Linked DNA regions of Ovis aries. The protein of the gene in region 1 interacts with the protein of each later gene in a biochemical or structural test. Links are inferred from orthologs where the notes say so. Each region holds a gene or a part of one and is shown in the gene's direction. Other genes may lie near its edges.

Region 1 (3,814 bases):
GCAAGGCTGGAAATGGGATATAGATTTGGTTATTTTAAAAAGAAGTTTATGAAAAAGCTTTCTATTTGGGAAGAACTGCCAGTATGACAGATGAGAGACAGGGATAGGTTTTGTGCAGTGAGTGGAAAGTAAGTTTATTGTGATGGAGCAGATACATTAAAGTTTGATGTATGGAGGGATGGCTGTGGTTGAGGGAAGAGAGAAAGTACGTGAAAGCTGGCATATTTCAGACATAGGAAAGCCCTTGTAGATTTCTGAAAGGAAAATAGCATTGCTAGGATGGAAAGGACAGCTCTTGATTCTGGTTATAGAATGGCTTAGTGTGAGAAGTAGTTGGAAGTTACTTTATAAGAGATTGTTGCGTTAGTCAGATGACAGACTGTGGATATTGGATGTAAGCTATGAAAATGAGGAGGAAGGAACAGATCCTGAATTCTAGGACCTAAAAACATGACAGAAGAAAAGTCAAAGAAAATGGTAAGTGAGCTGAACATACCGCTGAGCTTGCAGTTTGATTTAACAAAGTTTACTGACCACCAGGCATGTGTAAGACACCGGACTAGATGCTCTGAGATATAAATGAATGTGGCTCAGTCCCCGCCCTCTAGAAACTTACAATTCAGTTGGAGAAATTGACATATACTTATATTGTTATATAAGATAGACTGTATTACAAAGAATAAAATGACCTTTTTTAAAAACAAAAAATCAGATCATACCATTCTCTGCACAGTACTTATCTTTGACTTTCCAACCCATCCAGAGTTTGTTCATTTTTTAAAAATTGAGATATAAGTCACATACCATAAATTTCACCCTTCTAAAGGATACAATTCCATGATTTTTTATTAGTATTTTCATAAGGTTGTACAACTATCACTGATAGCTAACTCTAGAACATTGTCACCACCCCAGAAAGAAACCTTGTACCTTTTGGCATTTACTCTCTGTTCCCCTCTTCACCCAGCCCCTGGCAACACTGATCTGTTTTATGTCTCTGGGTTTGTCTGTTGTGGGCATTCCGTATGAATGGAATCATGTAATATTGGGCCTTTTGTGTCAGTTGTCCATGCTGTAGTATGTATCATTACTTGATTTCTGTCCTTATAATGCCCTGTGAGATGGTACACAACTGAGTATCCCACCTCATCTGTTCTTATTTTCCCCCTTGCCACTGTGCTCCAACCCTTCTAATTTCATTGCCATTTCTCAAACATATCAAGCATACTCCTGCTGCAGGAGTTTTGAGTGGTAAAATGCTCTTTTCCCCAGAGAGCCATGTGACTTGCTTTCTAACTTCTTCAGTTCTTTCTTCATATGTCATATTCTCAGTGGTGTCTCCCTTGATGACTCTATTTAAATATGGCACTCCTTCCATCCTTAGCCCCAATTTCCTGCCTTATTTTTCTCCCTTGCATTTATCAGGCTTATGTGATTCGAGCTATGGTTTAAAAATGGGTACTTTGTCACCATGTGTAGAATTGATTAGATATGAAGGGCATGAGGGAGTCTAGGTGAGAGGAGTTGAGAGTTTGGATTGGGATAGTCATAATCAAAATGGTGAAGGGAGTATATTCATTCAGTATTATTAAGCATTTGCTATATGCCAGGTGTGGTGGTGCTAGTCCTGAAAATGTAAGGATAAAAAGATATGATCCCTAACCTGAAAAAACTCACCACTTAATGTAGTAAGAATCACCTAAAGAACTTTTTTAAAATTCAAACTTGGGTCCTTTGTTATGGGCTGTTGGAGTCTCAGTGAGGATGAGGTAGACATGTAATTTGGAACAGCTTTTTACAGTGATAGAAATGTTTTGAATTGGGTGGCTACTGAGCACTTGAAATATAACTAGTGCAATTAAGAAACAATTTTAAATTTCATGTAGTTTTTATTTAGTGGCTGTTGTATTAGAGCACATCTACTGACATACATAAATTATAGCACAGTGACATACGTCTGGTAAAGAGCCTTGTACTATGGAGCGTACGGTTCTTCCCCCATCTTAAGCTGTCTCACTGGTGCATGTAACAATTCACACATGGGAATAGGTCCTGGGATTTAGAAATGAACAGGTGAATGGTGAAGAGGAAGCAATCAAAGATAGAAACTAAAACTTTAATGTCAACAAGTGTTAGAGGTTTACAGGGTAGTGTCAGTGAAATAAAAATCATGTGATTCTTGACCCTTTTTCTTCAAATTCTAGGTTGCAGTCTGTAACTTGGCTTCCCTGGCCCTGAATATGTATGTCACATCAGAACACACATATGACTTTACAAAGTTGGCTGAAGTCACCAAAGTCATTGTCCGAAATTTGAATAAAATTATTGATATTAACTACTACCCTGTCCCAGAGGTATGAATAGATTTCTCTGCTTATTGCTAATAATTGAAATCCAAGGTGGAAGGAGTTGATCATAGTCTTCTAGTCATCATGTTATCATTGGAATGATTGGAATGGTGTGAGAAAACTGAGAGTGTGTCCTTTGGTACAGAATGTTGGTTTTACTGTTCATTAATGTCATCTCTTTCTTTTCTAAACCTGTTGGCACAAAGGCAAGCTTGTCGAATAAACGCCATCGCCCCATTGGAATTGGGGTGCAAGGTCTGGCAGATGCTTTTATTCTGATGAGGTACCCTTTTGAGAGTCCAGAGGCCCAGTTATTGAATAAGCAGATCTTTGAAACCATTTATTATGGAGCCTTGGAAGCCAGCTGTGACCTGGCCAAGGAGTATGGCCCATATGAAACCTATGAGGGCTCTCCAGTCAGCAAAGGAGTAAGTATACAGATGAAATTTCTCTTTGCTTGTGAGTTCCTGTAGTAGGCTTAATGGTAGCCCTCAAAAAGATGTTCACATCCTAATGTCTGGGACCTCTGACTATTAAATTATTTGGTTTGAAAAGGGTCTTTGCAGATGTAATTGAGATTATCCTGGATTATCTAGGTGGGCCCTAAATCCAGTGACAGTTGTCCTTACAAGAGACATAGAGAAGAAGGAGCAACAACCATAGAGGCAGAGGTTGGAGAGATGTAGCCACAGCCCAGGAGAATTGAAGCCACTAGAAGCTGGGAGAGGCAAAGAACAGAATCTCCTCTAGAGCCTGGGGATGGAGGGGGCCTTCCCAACATACTGAGTTTGAGCTTCCGGCCTCCAAGACTGCAAGAGAACAAATTTTTGTTATTTTAAGCCACTAAAGTTGTAATTTGTTACACCAGACATCTGAAGCTCATATAGTCCTTTTGTTCTCTGGAGTAAAAAGTATATTCTATTTTAATCTCTTTTATTTAAAACTAATTATTGCTAAAAGACGTAGGAAGAATGCTGAGTTAGTTTGTTTTTTTTTTTCCTTTTTGGATGGGTGGGGAAAGGAGCGGTGCCTTGCATGGCTTGTAGGATCTTAGTTCCCTGACCAGGGATCCTGAGCCCACAGTAGTGAAAACACTGAATCTTAACTACTAGATCACCAGGGAACTCCCAGGTATTAGTTTTCTATAACAAAACTTAGCAGATTAAAACAATATACATTCAGTATCAATTTCTATGGGTCAGGAGTGCAGACTTGGGTTAGCTTAATCTCTGGGTCTCTCAAAGTCAAGATGTCAGTAGAAGTTGTGGTCTCATCTCAGGCATAGTCCTCCAAGCCCTCCTGGTTGTTCATTTCCTTGCAGTTCTAGAGCTCATGGTATCTTACGTCTTCAAAGCCAGTAGGAGGGAGAGTCCCTCATTTCAAGAGCCCCAGTCCAGTCACCATTTTGGGTATTTTCATTTGTCAGGTCAGGGCCACCCAGGATAATCTCCCTTTTTGCTAAAAAA
Region 2 (4,496 bases), on another chromosome or scaffold:
AGAGATATAATGGTCGCTGGTCTTTCTTCTCAGGCTTAGAGAACACTTTAAACACAGTATACAGTACTTTTAGAAATAGACCTCTGTGGGGAGGTCCCTACCCCCACCTCTTAAAAGTATTATATCTAGAAAAGACATTGTACAAAATCCAAGCCTCACTCAGTGACAGCCCTGAGTGTGTGCGCTGTTAGAGCTTATCCTGGTTAATCATTTCTTTCCTGGATCTCATCAGTCATTCCTGGCGTTTTGCCACATGCAGGGCAAAAATCTACGGCAAATTTGAAAGGCCAAGTGTAAAGTAAAATTAAAATGTTACTAAGTTTATGTCTCCACCATCACCCCAATGGAGGTTTTCAACCTCCTCTTCAAGCTCTCTGAGGCCCAATAAGCAGTAAATGGGCTTGTTTAGGCTTCCCTGGTGGCTCAGACGTAAAACGTCTGCTTGCAGTGCGGGAGACCGGGGTTCGATCCCTGGGTCAGGAATATCCCCTGGAGAAGGAAATGGCAACCCACTCCAGTACTCTTGCCTGGAAAATCCCATGGACGGAGGAGCCTGGTGGGCTACAGTCCACGGGGTCGCAAAGAGTCGGACACAACTGAACGACTTCACTTTTAAAGCAGTAAATGAAGTCATAGTTATTCAATCATTCTCTGAACTTTTTCTCTGAATCTTCGCTCAGTTTGCAATTTTAAAAACACTGTCTACGTTGAGGGCGAGATTTCAGGGGGAAACTTCACCAAAGACCCTCTCTCTCTGTTATCAGCTTGAAGGTTTACAATGGACTTCGTATTGTTCATGAATGACCTCATTTAGTCTTCTTACTTTATTAGAAAGCCCACAGCTTAGATATGGCTGCAAGCCCATTTCACCAGCGAGGGGACAACAGATGACGTGTCCAAGGGACACAGCCATTGCACCCCGGGGACCCTGTAGTTCCGCGGCCCTAACCGTTAGGCGGTCACCACCGGCCAGCCCCCTCCTTTGCCGGACCTCAGGAACCTGGCACCCCCACCCAGGTACACACACGTATCCAGATCGCCGCAGCCACATCTCCCTCGCAGCCAGGGGCGTTTTAAGGGCCTCCGTACCAAGCTCATCTGCAAAAACCATTTACGCGGAACCGAGAGCCGGGTTCCAGAGAGGTCTTCAGAGAGGTGGGGCTCCGCGGGGGTGGGGAATTCGCTCCCGCTCGCGGGCTGGCGGGCTCCAATCGCGTTGCTTCATTCAATCCCAAACCGTCCCGGGGACGCGCGCGAGAGCCTGCGCGCCCGCTAGGGCGCACGGAGCGCGCAGGGGCTACAGCCTTTGTGCGACTAGGCCCTCGGCGAGGCGGGCGGCGGCGCCCGCGGCCCCCCAGAGGCCTGGGAGGGGCAGGTGCCGGGGGGTCCCGGTAGGGCAGGGACTGGGGGGTCAGCCTGTGCTCCCGCGCAGCGCTTGAATCTGTGTGGGGTGGGTGGGGGCAGCCGGGATCCAGCCAATGGGGAAGTGTCCCCGCCCACTGGGCCGGCGCCCGGAGCTTTAAATATTCTCCCGCGGGGCCGTGCAGGGGCTCTCGGGACTCGCGCGCAACCCCTATCACACTGACCTTCTCGCCACCATGCTCTCCGTCCGCGTCCCGCTCGCCACCATCGCTGACCCGCAGCAGCAGCAGCTCTCGCCCCTGAAGGGGCTCAGCCTAGCAGACAAGGAGAACACTGTGAGCGCCGCGGGGGGCGGGGGCAGGGCGGCAGGGTCCTGTGGGGGGGTGGGTGGGGGCGCGGGCAGGCCTCTGACCATGCGCCTCCCTGCAGCCCCCTTCCCTCAGCGGGACCCGCGTGCTGGCCAGCAAGACCGCGAGGAGGATCTTCCAGGAGCCCTCCGAGCCGGTGAGTAGGTGGGCTGCGGTGGGGGCGCCCGGCGAGGGGGCGCTGCAGGCAAGGAGGTGCGGGCGGAGGCTGCTTGGCGCCAAAGCCTCATTGTCTGCTCTCAAACCCTACCCACCTCTCCCGGGCGCGCGCTGCTTTCCCGCCAAAGTCTGTTCCCTCCCCAGCACCACTGCACATCTGGACATTTCCTATTTCCCTAAACTCCTATAGAATCCAAGTATGACAACCGACTTATATTCAGCCCCATGAAATTTCTGATCATTGGAGGTATTCTGCTTGAAAAAAAAATGACAGTTTCATGGTTCGCCCTATACTTAACTTTTTTTTTCCCTTTTTCTCCCCCAACAGAACCCTAAGCTATCTGCCCCCAGTGTGGAGGACGAACCACTTCTGAGAGAAAACCCCCGCCGCTTTGTCATCTTTCCTATCGAATACCATGATATTTGGCAGATGTATAAGAAAGCTGAGGCTTCCTTTTGGACAGCTGAGGAGGTAATCAGATGCAGCAACTAGGAGACTTAAAAGACCCTTTGCCCATTGCCTCTCTAGAGGAAGACTCCAGCCGGGCCGGCTATATAACATGTTTGAAATATGCTTTGCTGCCCTCTCTGTCCCTCTTTGGAATGGTTGTTCACTCAGGACATGAGATGTTCAAATTGGCAGAATGAGGAGTATATAAATCAGGTGGTGCTGGTAGACTTATTAAAGTTGAACAATTAGGCCTACGTGTGAGGGTCCTGCCGGCTTGAACCCTTCGTGAACTTTTGTATTTCAGGTGGACCTTTCCAAGGACATTCAGCACTGGGAAGCCCTGAAGCCTGAGGAGAGATATTTTATTTCCCATGTGCTGGCTTTCTTTGCAGCAAGTGATGGCATAGTAAATGAAAACTTGGTGAGTTCCCCCCCATCTGCCCCTCACCCCCGAAAAAGTACCTTTATTCAAGATTTATGAGAGAACTAACAATTCTCTTTTTTGTCTTTTAAAATTTTGCACACTGAATGGGTATATATATATATATATATATCTATCTGTAAACCAGGGTTTATATTCTATGGCATTTTCTGTTCTATAGTGTACTTTGCAGTTATTTCTTCCTTATGGTATTTTTTCCCCCAACTGTAGAGAAACAATGTTAAGACAATATTAAGTGATAGTAATAGATCCAGAACCCTAGTAACTATCTATTTGCTCTCCTTTTTGTGGCTTTGTTGTTTTTTTTTAATAACTGGTCACATATATGTCTTGAGTGCATCCTCCTTGGAATGAATGGAAATGAATTACTATGTCTAGCTTATAATGATACAAAAAAGGAAGTGTGAGGCAACCAGTGTTCATTGAACTGCTGCTGGTAGATTTTCCTTAAACTGATCTTTGTGTTTTACCACTAGGTGGAGCGGTTTAGCCAAGAAGTTCAGATTACCGAGGCTCGTTGTTTCTATGGCTTCCAAATTGCCATGGAAAACATACATTCTGAAATGTATAGTCTCCTCATTGACACTTACATTAAAGATTCCAAAGAAAGGTGAGTATTTGGGTGGTGATATGCCAACATATTTAGGATTACTAGTTGTTACTTTTTGAAATTGTGTAGGGATAGGAAAATGACTCTAAAATGAGCAAGTCAAAGAAATTCCTAGCACCCATGGTCATGTCTGCTCTTAAGAACAGGCCTAAATGCACTTTACTAGTCCGTTGCTAAAAACAGTTATAAGGTTACTCCATCCTTTTAGAGCTGGAAACATACTAATGAACATCCAATCTAATGCCTTCTGAAAAAACATTCCAAGAGACTGTCTGATGAGCTAAACCTTAGGTTTGATAGTTTTCACGTCTGGCAAATCTGTCAACCTACAGTGTGAGGCTGGTACAGGGTGGAGTGGGGAGAGGATACAAAGTTGAAGATAAAACCAGCCTCTTAAGGGGCTTGCAACATAATATAGAAAATAAGACCTAGGAATATAAATGGAGGAATTATATAATAAATAGCACAGAGGCGGCAGTGAACCATGAAATTAATTCAGGCACACAGCAATTTGCCTGAAATGATGGTATATGTTGGGGAGTAACCGAGAAGAAATGTGAGTAGCGTAGGGACTATTTAACATTGTCAGGATTGACTGGAGAGGAGGGGAGCACTAGAAATAGGCATTTGAGTAGTCTGGATACTAAAGTCAGCTTCAGGACAAGAGCCTGTGTAGAACAGAAGTGGTGAAGCTGAGGAATAGCCTTTTGTAGATGATGTGGAAGAAAGTGAGGAGGGAAAATGAGTGATGACTTGGAAGGCCAGCAGGATGGAGGAAACTCTGCGGGTGTGGAGGGTGGGGTTGTAAAATGATTTGAACATGTTTGCAGACAGAAATGAGACAGAAATGAAAAAAGATAGTAAAGGTAGGGCATGATTGGAGGAGATTACCAGAAGGGAGGGATCAGAAAGGCCTGATGGTTGAGCTTTGAAAGCTAGGGAGAGGCAAGACCCAGGTTGACAAGGAAAGAGAATAAAAGGAGCCCAAGGTCTGATGAAAACAAGCTCACTGGGACAGGCTGGGGAATCTCTGGACTCCCAAAGTAGGCACAGGTAGGAAGAGGGTATGACCTGAACTTGAAATAATGAAACCAATCAATGCTCTTG

The links.
Region 2: the proteins of RRM1 (region 1) and RRM2 form a complex in vitro, tested with the Homo sapiens proteins (3 studies listed by BioGRID and IntAct). The link is inferred for Ovis aries from reciprocal best matches to the Homo sapiens genes RRM1 and RRM2.

What each region holds. Positions count from the first base shown.
Region 1 is NC_056068.1:49,755,759-49,759,572, reverse strand, and holds part of RRM1 (ribonucleoside-diphosphate reductase large subunit), read left to right. Parts: intron 1-2,204; coding exon 2,205-2,354; intron 2,355-2,554; coding exon 2,555-2,776; intron 2,777-3,814. UniProt on the Homo sapiens protein: Provides the precursors necessary for DNA synthesis. Catalyzes the biosynthesis of deoxyribonucleotides from the corresponding ribonucleotides.
Region 2 is NC_056056.1:19,306,735-19,311,230, forward strand, and holds the start of RRM2 (ribonucleoside-diphosphate reductase subunit M2), read left to right. Parts: upstream 1-1,547; 5' UTR 1,548-1,598; coding exon 1,599-1,697; intron 1,698-1,791; coding exon 1,792-1,866; intron 1,867-2,214; coding exon 2,215-2,358; intron 2,359-2,641; coding exon 2,642-2,758; intron 2,759-3,255; coding exon 3,256-3,389; intron 3,390-4,496. UniProt on the Homo sapiens protein: Provides the precursors necessary for DNA synthesis. Catalyzes the biosynthesis of deoxyribonucleotides from the corresponding ribonucleotides. Inhibits Wnt signaling.